2 linked regions of the Schizosaccharomyces pombe genome follow. The protein of the gene in region 1 purifies or fractionates together with the protein of each later gene. This does not show direct contact. Each region holds a gene or a part of one and is shown on either strand. Other genes may lie near its edges.

Region 1 (7,520 bases):
CCTTACGTCCAAGAAAAAAATCTAGACACCATTTTGATGGTTCATCGACCATACGCATGCGTTGTGCTCAAAAGTCTTTACAATTAAGCATAAACGATACTTATAGAAAAGATAATTTACTTCTTTGCTTACTAAATCACTTCAGCCGTGTGTGTTAAAGGATCAATATCTCTACCGAGAAGGTTCTTATATAAGCGATGTTTGTTTGTTTGTTTACCCAAAATTTTGGAAGCGGAGGGGATGCGTTTATTATGATGTTGAACGTAATGAAATACATATTTTTTTTTCTTAAGTGTGTTAAAAATAATTGATTTGAGGGAAGCTGTTGTTACGTCGAAGGTTTATCATTTTTTTGTTTGTAATTGAGACGTTCTAAAAGTATTGAGTAACTTGATTCCTTATAAATTTTATTAACTAAGTTACCTTATTTGGTTTTTCATAATTAGTTTGGCCTAAAAATATGTAAATGCATTTATAATTCTTCTTTTCTCTTTTGGGTTTATGCTGCAGACTATACATTTTCCAAAACATCTTCTCATCTCGAAGAAACATGTCTTTTATAGACTTTTTACTTTTGTAATTCTTTTTTAATCGAAATCATAGCCCAATTAATTAATATTTAGTATTGATGCTCCATTTTGAGAGTAATCATCTTCTGAGTTTCTTTGAAGAGAAAACAGAAACATATACTATCTAAATCGAATTTGTCTTTGAGTCAAAGCGTTAGATTATTAGTTGCTTTTTTTATGAAAATATCCCTGTTTCCAAACGGTTTTAGTAAATCATTCTCGTACAAGAATATATAACGAGAGCACGAAATTATCTATCAAAACGAAAGAATTATGATATATATAATATTCTGTTTTTTTTATCTGATGTTTTACTGTTAGAAATCCATTGTGTTGCTCAAACCGTTGATTTTGAATGGTATTATTTACATGTTTGTACCATCTTACCTCCTCTTTTACTAGTAATTCTAAGCCGCACTAGTTTGCCTTATTTAGCATACTGTTTTCTGATAAAAATCGTAGCTAGCTCGGTATTAGTTATTAATATCAGCAATGCAGTTCGATAATATGCCAGTAAAACTGCACTACGCTATCATACATTACGTCGAGTGTCACTATATGTCACATGTTCTACTTGTCATCGTACCATAGATGATACGATATTGAAATTGATCTTAATGATGTTCGATAAAGATTCTTGCTATTAGAATACTATAAAAGATAGCTACTACTGAACTGAGGAAAGAGGTTCAGCAATAAGCTACATTTGTGATAGATAACAATATACCCTTTATATTATAATACCTATACTTGATTGTTACTTTTATAACCTATGTATTACAATATTATAGGTCGCAAGGAAAGCTCACCGCATTACTACGTATCGTTAAAATAATTACAAAATTGCATAGTAAACAGACAACTGTTTTTAAATACGATGAAGTAGTTGAGTTTCTATTGCAATTTTTTATAATCTTATGTATGTTTACTACGATTGGTAATAAATATTCTTACGCTCAACTTAACATTATTTAATATTATAATAACTTATATACTTGATAATTGAAATAACAATTATAGTAATTCTGAAGCAAAAAACTAACTCACTAGCCGTATTGAAATGTGAAATGTTAATTGTACTTTTCAACAAAGCCAACCTTGAAAGTTAAAAACATAATAAATAGTGATAGTTAACATATCATAACATAGCGTGATTTCTTAATGGTAAAAGTTTGATTCTTATTTGAGGTTTTATGAACTTTAGTGAAACCACTATGCGCTTTTATCAAATTGCATAATTCGCTTTTCATATTACTTTGTCTCAGCGAAGTCATCTCCATATTAACATCAGCAGAGAACGAGTATTTTCCATAAGTAAAGAAGAAAGTTTTGAAATAACGTAAACGCGTTAGTAAACTTTTTTTCTATTAGTTTTAGCATTTGCATATTGTTTTGCGACATTTTTTGAGCAAACATCTATTTTTGTGTGTAAACAAAACGCTGTGTTTAGTTTAAATTAGGCGTTCGGGGAGTCTTGTAATTTCTACCGGTCATGACATCGGGGATTTATTACAAGGGACTGTAAGTTTATTAGAATCGTCTTTAAAGGATCCTGCTAATGTTGTTGTTGCGAAATGTAGTCAATGCTGGATTCCAGATGAGCAAAGCCAATGGATCCCTGGAAGCATAAAGGATTGTCGAGTTGAAGGTGAGAAAGCTTTCTTAACGGTACAAGATGAAAACGAAAACGTACGAAAATTATTATTTTCTTTGGTATCCCTTTTGGGTCAATTGAGATTAATTAGCTAATGTGATCTTGTTAGGAAACTGTTATTACAGTGAAGCCAGACGATTTAAATTATGAAGGAAGAAACGGCCTCCCGTTTCTTCGATCCATTAACTCGGATGCTGATGACCTTACTGATCTTTCATACCTAAATGAGCCGTCAGTGTTGGATGCTTTGTCAACAAGGTACAACCAACTTCAAATTTATACGTATTCTGGCATTGTCCTTATCGCAGTAAATCCTTTTCAGAGACTGCCAAATTTGTACACTCACGAAATAGTACGTGCTTATTCGGAGAAATCTCGGGATGAGCTAGATCCCCATCTCTATGCTATTGCTGAAGATAGCTACAAGTGCATGAATCAAGAGCATAAAAATCAAACTATTATTATATCTGGTGAGTCAGGAGCAGGAAAAACTGTTTCCGCAAGATACATAATGCGGTATTTTGCTTCTGTGCAAGCACTTATTCAATCCACCGATTCCAATTTTCATGAAGCTCCACAATTAACTGCTGTCGAGAATGAGATACTTGCTACAAATCCGATTATGGAGGCTTTTGGTAATTCTAAAACTTCTAGAAATGACAATTCTTCTCGCTTTGGTAAATATATTCAAATTTTGTTCGACGGAAATGCTACAATCATTGGTGCTAAAATTCAAACTTATCTTTTAGAAAGATCAAGATTAGTATTTCAGCCTAATCAAGAAAGAAATTATCATATTTTCTATCAGATTTTAGCTGGTTCATCCTCGGAACAACTTGAAAAGTGGAAACTTGTTGAGAATTCTCAAGAATTTAATTATTTAAAACAGGGAAATTGTTCTACAATTGAGGGCGTCAATGATAAAGAGGAATTTAAAGCTACAGTTGATGCATTAAAAACAGTTGGCATTGATAATGATACATGTGAATGCATATTTAGCTTATTAGCTGCATTGCTGCATATCGGTAACATAGAGGTTAAGCATTCAAGGAATGATGCATACATTGATTCAAAAAACGAAAATCTGATAAACGCTACTTCATTGTTGGGCGTGGATCCTTCTTCATTGGTGAAATGGTTAACGAAGCGTAAAATAAAGATGGCCTCTGAAGGTATTTTGAAACCATTGAACGAATTTCAAGCTGTAGTAGCTAGAGACTCAGTAGCGAAATTCCTTTACGCTTCACTCTTCGACTGGCTGGTAGCTACTATTAATAAAGCCTTGATGTACTCAGCTGATAAATCGAACCAGACGGCTAAAAGTTTTATTGGTGTTCTAGATATTTATGGGTTCGAGCACTTTAAAAAAAATTCATTTGAACAGTTTTGCATCAATTATGCGAACGAAAAACTTCAACAGGAATTTTATCGCCATGTTTTCAAACTGGAACAGGAGGAGTATGCTGCTGAGGGACTTAACTGGTCCTATATTGATTATCAAGACAATCAGCAATGTATTAGCATGATTGAGAGTCGTTTAGGGATTCTTTCCCTTTTAGACGAAGAATGCCGAATGCCCACGAACAGCGATGAAAATTGGGTTAGTAAGTTGAACGATGCATTCTCCAAGCCAGAATTCAAAAATAGTTATCAGAAATCAAGGTTTGGTAACAAGGAGTTTACAATTAAGCATTATGCTCTTGACGTTGTTTACTGTGCCGAAGGATTTATTGATAAAAACCGTGATACAATATCCGATGAGTTGTTGGAGCTTTTTACAAATTCAGACGTTCCCTTTGTCAAGGATCTGGTTTTATTCCGTCTTGAACAAACTGCACCCCCAGCCGATACCAAAAAAATAAAAACCAAGCCAAAAAGTAATACTCTTGGTTCAATGTTTAAAAGCTCTTTGGTTAGTCTAATGAGTACCATCAACGAAACTAATGCTCATTATATTCGTTGTATCAAGCCAAATGAAGAGAAAGAAGCCTGGAAATTTGATAACCAAATGGTGGTTTCTCAGTTACGAGCATGCGGTGTTTTAGAAACTATAAAAATATCTTGTGCTGGTTTTCCCTCCCGTTGGACTTTTGATGAGTTTGTTTCTCGTTATTACATGTTGGTTCCCTCTGCCGTAAGAACTACGGAGTCTTTGACCTTTAGCAAGGCAATTTTAGAGAAACATGCTGATCCGACTAAATATCAAATTGGCAAAACTAAAATATTTTTTCGTTCAGGTGTGACGCCCCTTTTAGAGAGTGCGAGAGACAAAGCTTTGAAACATGCAGCACATCTTTTGTATGAAGCGTTTGCTGTTAATTACTATAGGACTCGTTTTCTTCTGTCTCGGAAGAGAGTCAGGAGCTTTCAAGCCGTTGCTCATGGTTTCTTATCTCGTCGCCATACGGAGTACGAATTACTTTCTTCCAATATTATTAAACTTCAGTCACTTTGGAGAACTGCATTAAAGAGAAAAGAATTCATACAAACGAAAAATTCTATACTTAAAGTGCAAAGTATAATTAGAGGCTTTTTATTAAGACAGACTTTAGAGGAAAAGACAAAGCATGATGCAACATTAATTATTCAAAGTCTTTGGTTAACATTTAAAGCCCATAAGCACTACAAAGAACTACAATATTATGCAGTTCGTATCCAGTCTCTTTGGAGGATGAAACTTGCAAAGCGACAATTGACAGAATTAAAAATTGAATCCACTAAAGCGAGTCACCTTAAGCAAGTATCTTACAGGCTTGAAAGCAGATTGTTTGAGATTTCAAAACAGTTGGACAACTCGGAGCAGGAAAATAACAAGTTCAGGGAAAGAATCGCTGAATTGGAGTCTCATCTGTCCAACTATGCTGAAGCAAAGTTAGCACAAGAAAGAGAACTTGAGCAAACTAGGGTACTTATATCGGATCAATCTCAAGATGGGGAATTAAAGGAGTTACTTGAAGAGAAAGAAAACGCTTTGATTATGATGGAAGAGGAGATGAGGCAAGTCAACGATGCGAATACCGAACTTTTAAGAGTAAATGCAACTTTGAAGTCGCAGCTTAAAAATTACGATATGATTATTGTTGAGCAAACCTCTCAGTTGAAAGAGAAAAACAGGATAATTGCTAGTCTGACAAAAGCCACTAAAATACTGAATTCGGCCTCTAGTATCGAACAGTCGCGCAATTCGGAAGAGAAATCACGTCGTGATAGTTCATTGATGGAAATGCGTACTCAAAAAGAGATGCTTGTGCTATTAATGAACGATGGCTTGAAGCACGATCTTGACAAACTCACAGAATATGCAGGTAGAACATTTACAACTCTTAAAACTCTATTACTAAAGGACAACGATGTTGAGGCTCAGAAACTTGATCATTTGTTTTTAGCAAAACTACTTTTTATAATAATATCACAAATGTGGAAATCAAATCTGTGTCAGGAAAGTGTTGCCTTGGTTGAGCGTTACTGTGTCCACACTTTAGAATACGTATTTCAAAAGACATCATCTGCTAATGAGAGACCTGACATCGGATTTTGGGTTGCAAATACACATGCGCTCTTGGCTTTTGTTTATACTAAGCAGCAGGCGTTTAAACATTCCTCGGCTTTCACTCTTTTATCCACCGAATCTCATGAATCAGTGCAAACCATTTTTGAGATGATTGAATCACATCTGTCAAAAATCTTTTTCGAATGGGTTAGGCAAGTCAATAATTTTTTAAAGCCATTGATTGTTCAGGCAATGATTATTACTGGTACAAATACGGATGCTGGAGATGAGAATCGAAAACTACGGATTAAATTTTTTGAGAAACCAAAATACAAAATCACCGATGTAATACATGTACTAAATAAGGTGCATGATTCTTGTCAGGCCTATAAAGTTAATTATGAAATATATAATGCATTGATTAGAAGCATATATCGATTCATTAATGTGGAGGCATTCAATTCACTTTTTATTGATGAACGTGGATCTTGGAAACGTGGTACCAATATTTCATACAATTATCATGTTCTTAAGGATTGGTGTCTAGAAAGTGGTGTTCCGGAAGCTTATTTGCAGCTCGAAGAGCTTTTACAAACCTCCAAGATACTACAATTTGTGAAAGATGATCCAAATTATGTGGCCAGGGTCCGCGACTTTTATGCTCTTAATTTTCTGCAAATAAAAACACTCTTACATCGTTATGACTATGCTGACTACGAGGCTCATGTACCGAAAAAAACTATGTCTGAATTGTCCAAAAATATTGTTGCTGAAGGCATCAATCAAAGGGAACAACTTACTTACGAAGTGTTGGATTATAGACTACAAGATAGTTTTGAGGAATCTCCATCTCTTGAAAAAATAAAGATACCAGATGATTGTAATGTTACCTATTTGCGTCGTATCATCGACCTTGCTAGTGCAGAAGAAAGTGTTGAGCAAGCTTTGATCACTGTAGGCAACGTAGCCGACAATGATGTACAGAACTCGAGCGACGAAGAAAATCAAGTACCAAATGGTATTAAAGTTTAATATCTAGTTATTTTTCAAGGTGCTCTGCCTACTTATTTATTCCCTAATTAGGGGTTTTACTTTCAAAATTTGGAGCTGGGCCTTAGTTTCCGTGGAAGTTTTAATCAAAACATCCTGATAATGACAATCTTTTACGAGTTTTATTTACTGCTAAATATAAATATCTATGAGTATTGTAGTCTATTCTACTTCCCCACTTTGTATAGTTACTTGGTAACTTAATTTATTCTTAAATATTTATTTCGCTTGCGGAGTACGCATTGGTTTCAGTCAAAAAATACCTACATCGAAATACTTTCCATAACTAGTTTGTCACCAAAGACTGAAAAGAAAGTATATTTATTAGATCATTTTTAATATAAAGGCTGCAAACTACTTAATAAAACACGTAAATTGAAGTACGAAGTCTCATGCAGCGTTAGCAAGAAGCTCTACTCTATAAGCGAGAATAGCTTAACAAATCCGAATGTGTTAAGAACAGACAAAAAGCAAAGCAATAAAAGCATTTTCAAAATCTATTTGACATAATAAAAATAAACACGATTACGGAAGTCCCTTAAGTGTTATAATGGTCTATAAAAAACTTGTATTGTAAATTTCTACAATAGGAAGCTTGGGTACCACAATGGATAGGACTATTAAACCGAAAGGCATATCAAAAATTTTATAACCAGATACATACGTATAACGTATCAACATTAAAACTTTAATAGGAAAATATCACGTAGGATGAATTATCCAAACTCATAAATCCTGATCAATAATTTTTTAGTTA
Region 2 (5,506 bases), on another chromosome or scaffold:
TTTTAACTTTTGCCATTGATTCATTTCAGTACTGGAGAACATAAGACCAATATATTAAACAGTTTGAACAGCGCGCCCTATAGATTTCCCACAAATTGAAAGAGAAAAAAGTCCTGAGTCGTTATTATTGAACATCTATCAAATTGGATACCGTATTATTGATCGCTGACATTTCATTTTGTAGTTGACAAGAAAAGAAAAAGCGGGTTGAGTAAACTTTACCTTTTAGTGCTTTAATCTTGTTTATAAAGTGAAAGTGGTTGAAAGCTGTGTGGCCTCTTAATTATACACATATATATTTACGCGGTTACTTTTTTTTTATAGTTTATAAATTAAACTGATAGCTTTCGATGATGCCATCATCAAGTTTCCAACAAACTCCCAAACCCGTCGATTTAGACGATCCAAGGTTTGAACAGTACGATTGCTTGCCATGCCGCTTGGTGGGCGCAGGCGCTTTCACAGGTCTAGGAATATATGCCTATTCGCAATCTAGAATTCCTTTGAATACACCCAATTACAAGCTTAAACGATTCGGTATTTTGGGAATGGCTTATGGATTTATTCTTACCGGTGTCTATAGATTGTTTCAATAAAATGTTAATAAACGTCGTTTTCTATTATCAGTTATCTTAAGACGTGAAGAAGTAACTTGAATCAGAAGTAAATGTTTTTTACTAAATTGCATTTTAATCAAACGGGTGAAGTTTTTTTGCTTTCTGATGCACATCCAACAAATATGCTTAAATGGTAACTAAACCTATACACTATAACAATTATGGAATAAAAGAAAAGAAGCAGAAATGAAGGGAAAATTCTGAAATATAATTAAAAAAAGAACCATAAATAAAAAAAAGGATGCGAATACACTAAATAGTTGACTTTTGTCTAAAAATAAGATTTAGACATTGATTGCTTATTGAACCTCCTCGTCGAGTTCATTGTAAGAATGCTTGTGTGAATTGTTTTAAAGGTCTTTTACCCCAAACTTTGTAGAAAATTATAGTTTAAAAAAATCTCAGAGACAACAATTGTATAATAATGAAAGAATGTGTAAGGTAGATGGAATGTAATATATATGTAATACGACACAACATTTTCCATCCACGTTTAACGAAAAGCATTGTTAGGTAATGGTTTGCGTCGACGTTCAGCGTTGTTATTATTTTCAGAGATGCGGGTATAATCTGATTCCATAAATGGTTGTTCGACGTCAGTATTTCCACGAAGGTTGGCATACGAAGCTTCTTCGATAGCGTCCCAAGGGGAAACATATTTGTTATTTGTGAACGTACTGTCTGAATCATTACGATTCGAAAACGGATATTCTGGTGTATTAAGGTCAACGGAGCTTCTCAACGTAGTTCCAGAGTAAGCCGGATCAGAGAAGGCCATGTCGGAAGAGCTCATATCCTTAATAGATTTGTTATACGAGGTAGCCTTCTCGCTTTGGTCATCGAGGATACGGTAATAAGTACCATGTCCTGATTTACGGAACAGGACGATAAGTGTACGTATAAATATACCCAGGATCAAAAGAAGCATTGTAATAGCGTTCAATGCAAAAAATATAATGCCAATAACTTGACGAGCTAATTCCTCCACATAAAAAGCTTGACACATCACTAAAATAAAAGAACCACTTATCAAATTCATTAAAGCAACACCGATATGCAAAGTATTCATGTGTTTAGTGGCATAAGGTCGGAGAATCACCATAAGAGCAAAAACGACAACGCTAATACCAAACATGGCACAGCCCTGGACTTTGGGTGAGCCCTGACCAAAACCGATGAACATTGAGCGTACCAAGGTTATAAGCAACAGTGGGAAAGTAAAGTAAAAGAAACGGACGTCTAATTGCACGTACATAAAGCCCCAACGCATCAAGTGTTGAGTGTCAGAATATAGGTTGTACAAGACGTCAGGATGGGAATAAGGTCCTGTTTTGCGGATAATTTGAATTGTCCGCACAAATGCATAGCAGAGCAAAACTGCCATGTCCACAATCACGTACATTGATAAAAATGCCAAAGCGGAAGAATCACGAGTATAGATTTCCCACATGGACAAAACACTCATTTGAGTGAATCCGACAAAAATCACACGATAGAAAAATCCTTTGGATATAGATTTCCAATAAAGACGGATACGTTGCTTTTTCAAAGCTTGATTTCTGGATGCAAGGAGCACCATTTCAACAATAAATCTAGAAGCCATAGCAACTAGTAATGAAAAGAACAACAATATAATAAAAAAGGAAAACCCAGTAGCAAAGAAATTCGTCGTTTCAATCCCCATCATATATGAAATACGCTTGATTCCCCTCAGGGTAATAGAATCACTTGTGCTAGTGGTGACAGTAGTAGTTGCACGCTTGGCGAGAGAGCCCAAATCAATACCACGTTTTGCGAGGGCGACATTAGCATGTATACCCAAATCTACAAGAGTAGATGGCGTGCCGCCAGTTGATTTAACGTACCATGTAAAAACATCTTGCATGAAGCCAATCCTGATAATACCCATCGACCACATGAAATTACGGCCCCAACTGTAAATGATAGCAGGAAGAGAAGTAGCCATCATGGAATACAAAGCCTGGATTTGAGCAAACTGAAATAAGGTAATCATCGTTTCAACGATTTCCCAAAGTGCGGGTGTTTGAAGAACAGGGGATATCAGTAAGAAAATTAAAAGTGGGATACCGATTACCATACACATAACCCAGTAAACAGCTCTGTGGTAAACAGAACGACCATTTTGCACTGTAGTACGAACACAAGCTAATTGTGTGTTTGTATCTGATTCATAAATATTAATAGTCACAACAGCATCTAAATCCGGAACTGTGTATGCAATGGAGGGAATACTATCAAGAATAGAAAGAGCCTCTCCGGTTAAAGTATGACTACCAGATAAAGCAATATTTCCAGTCTGCATTGGACAGAAGCCAGAAATTTCCATATCGCAAGGATCTATCACCTTCTTTATTTCGATTCCGTATGCACTAATGTCGACGTCTATACTGACATTCGTAGAAACAAGAGATTGTATCGAGATATCAAAGGCAACAGATTGATTGTCCGGAAAATACGAGGCATAGAGCTTACTTGCTGATAACTGTGAATCAGTCATACATGTGGACAGAGAGTCGGCGGAAATGAATCTGGTTAAAGCATCAGCCCATGAAAATAGCTCGACGACCACAACTAAGAGTAAAAGTGGGCTTCTCCAAAGCCTCATTTTGCAGTTGATGGTAGTGAGAAACAGTTGATTAATGGAAAAACAGGAAGGTGAAGTCAAAAGATGATATTAATGAATAGAAAAGACAGACTGTGAATTCCAATGTAACTGAGTCTCAAATGTAGCTAAAATTCTCCACAACCAGTTATTATTATTCTTAAATTAAGTTAGATTTGAAAACTTATTAATTCCAATTAAATCGAGGGATATATAACAATGGGAATGATTAACAAAAATATAGTTTGCTCTGGGTGGCTGTATTATCATCAAAGATTCTCAACCCGTTCAAGACAAGTGATGACTAGAGACAAATCCCGGTACCTGTTACCTTAGATCACAGCCATTTAACATGGAAAACTACCAGCACACTAACCAGTAAATAACTGGTAATTGAGGATTTAATAGTACGATAGACCTTTCTTTTTTTTTTATAAGATAATTTTTATATTCTACAGTGTCAATTGACGCTTAATCAACTCGTAACGTATTAACAAAAGTCATTTTAGCAAAACTTCTTTCATAAAGAAATTCACCACAGCTACTTTAAAATATCATAATGTAAAACTAAGCCTAATGTGACATAGTACGCAGTATAGATAGCGAAATGTTTATTAAAAGACACTAACTTTAGATTAGGAATTTCAATCGAATTTGAACACTATAATTGTTTAACATTTGAAAGTTGAATGAAAAGAATATCGTTAAATATTGCTATTTACTTTGCTGCATAGATTTGACACGTTGCGTTACGGCGGTATACATTTCGCAGTTTTCCACTTTTCCATTTTTCATACAAGCATTTTGCAAATTCCCAAACTCATTAGTAGTCTGCATTCGTTGTACAAGATGGCTAAATCCGAGTTAAAGCGGAAAAAGCATCAATCGGGTAATGAGGAAGTAAAAGAAAAACGTCAAAAACCTTTAAAAAACGATAAAAAAATTGCTGAAGAACTTCCTCAAGACGAAGACGATTACGAGCAGGAAGAGGAAAATGAAGATGCTGACCAAAATACTTCAGTAGAATCAGAAAGTGAGGAATTAGATAATGAAAATGAAGATGAGCGTGTTCAAAAATCTGTCAACCTGAACGCTTCTTCCACTTCGGATATTGAAAAGTTTTCAGACCTACAACTCTCTGAAAACATCCAAAAGGCAATTAAAGAAATGGGCTTTGAAACGATGACAGAAATTCAAAAGCGCTCTATTCCTCCTCTTTTGGCCGGTCGTGATGTTTTAGGTGCAGCTAAAACTGGTAGTGGTAAAACTTTGGCTTTTCTAATTCCTACCATTGAAATGCTTTATGCATTGAAATTTAAGCCTCGTAATGGTACTGGTGTTATTATTATATCTCCTACTCGTGAATTGGCTCTTCAAATTTTTGGTGTCGCAAAGGAGTTGTTGAAATACCATCACCAAACATTTGGTATCGTCATTGGCGGTGCTAATCGCCGTGCTGAAGCTGATAAATTGGTGAAAGGTGTTAACCTATTAGTTGCTACTCCTGGTCGTTTACTGGATCACTTGCAAAATACCAAAGGATTTGTATTCCGCAATTTACGATCCTTAGTGATTGACGAAGCCGACAGAATTTTGGAGATTGGTTTTGAGGACGAAATGAGACAAATCATGAAAATCCTTCCCTCGGAAAATCGACAAACCCTCCTGTTTTCTGCTACACAGACAACTAAAGTTGAAGATCTTGCTCGTATCTCTCTTAAGCCCGGACCCTTGTATGTTAACGTTGATTCTGGTAAGCCTACCTCTACCGTTGAAGGATTGGAGCAAGGTTATGTTGTAGTTGATTCTGACAAACGGTTTCTTCTTTTATTTTCCTTCTTAAAACGCAATTTGAAGAAAAAAGTTATTGTTTTCATGTCATCTTGTGCTTCTGTCAAATATATGGCAGAATTACTGAACTATATAGATTTACCAGTACTTGATCTTCATGGCAAGCAAAAGCAACAGCGTCGTACAAACACCTTTTTTGAATTCTGCAATGCCGAAAAGGGAATACTACTTTGCACCAATGTTGCTGCACGCGGGTTAGATATTCCAGCCGTTGACTGGATCGTGCAGTACGATCCTCCTGATGACCCCCGAGATTATATTCATCGTGTAGGTCGTACAGCTAGAGGAACAAAGGGAACTGGTAAATCCCTTATGTTCCTCGCTCCTTCTGAGCTCGGTTTCCTTCGTTATTTGAAAACTGCCAAGGTTTCTTTGAATGAGTTTGAATTTCCTGCCAATAAAGTTGCTAATGTTC

The links.
Region 2: the proteins of myo52 (region 1) and pkd2 purify together in Schizosaccharomyces pombe (affinity purification with western blotting, with the first as the bait; one study listed by BioGRID). This does not show direct contact.

The regions. Positions count from the first base shown.
Region 1 is NC_003421.2:2,224,273-2,231,792, reverse strand, and holds myo52 (myosin type V), read left to right. Parts: upstream 1-1,852; 5' UTR 1,853-2,061; coding exon 2,062-2,090; exon of another isoform or gene 2,091-2,149; coding exon 2,150-2,258; exon of another isoform or gene 2,259-2,267; intron 2,268-2,332; coding exon 2,333-6,745; 3' UTR 6,746-6,911; downstream 6,912-7,520. Other genes in the region: BAR adaptor protein Mug137, read right to left, coding at 7-32. UniProt on the Schizosaccharomyces pombe protein: Involved in cell wall deposition where it has a role in the localization of mok1.
Region 2 is NC_003424.3:4,217,738-4,223,243, reverse strand, and holds pkd2 (plasma membrane TRP-like calcium ion channel Pkd2), read right to left. Parts: upstream 3,494-5,506; 5' UTR 3,244-3,493; coding exon 1,111-3,243; 3' UTR 597-1,110; downstream 1-596. Other genes in the region: protein tam6, read left to right, coding at 351-596; ATP-dependent RNA helicase Has1, read left to right, coding at 4,090-5,506. UniProt on the Schizosaccharomyces pombe protein: Acts as a key signaling component in the regulation of cell shape and cell wall synthesis through interaction with GTPase Rho1.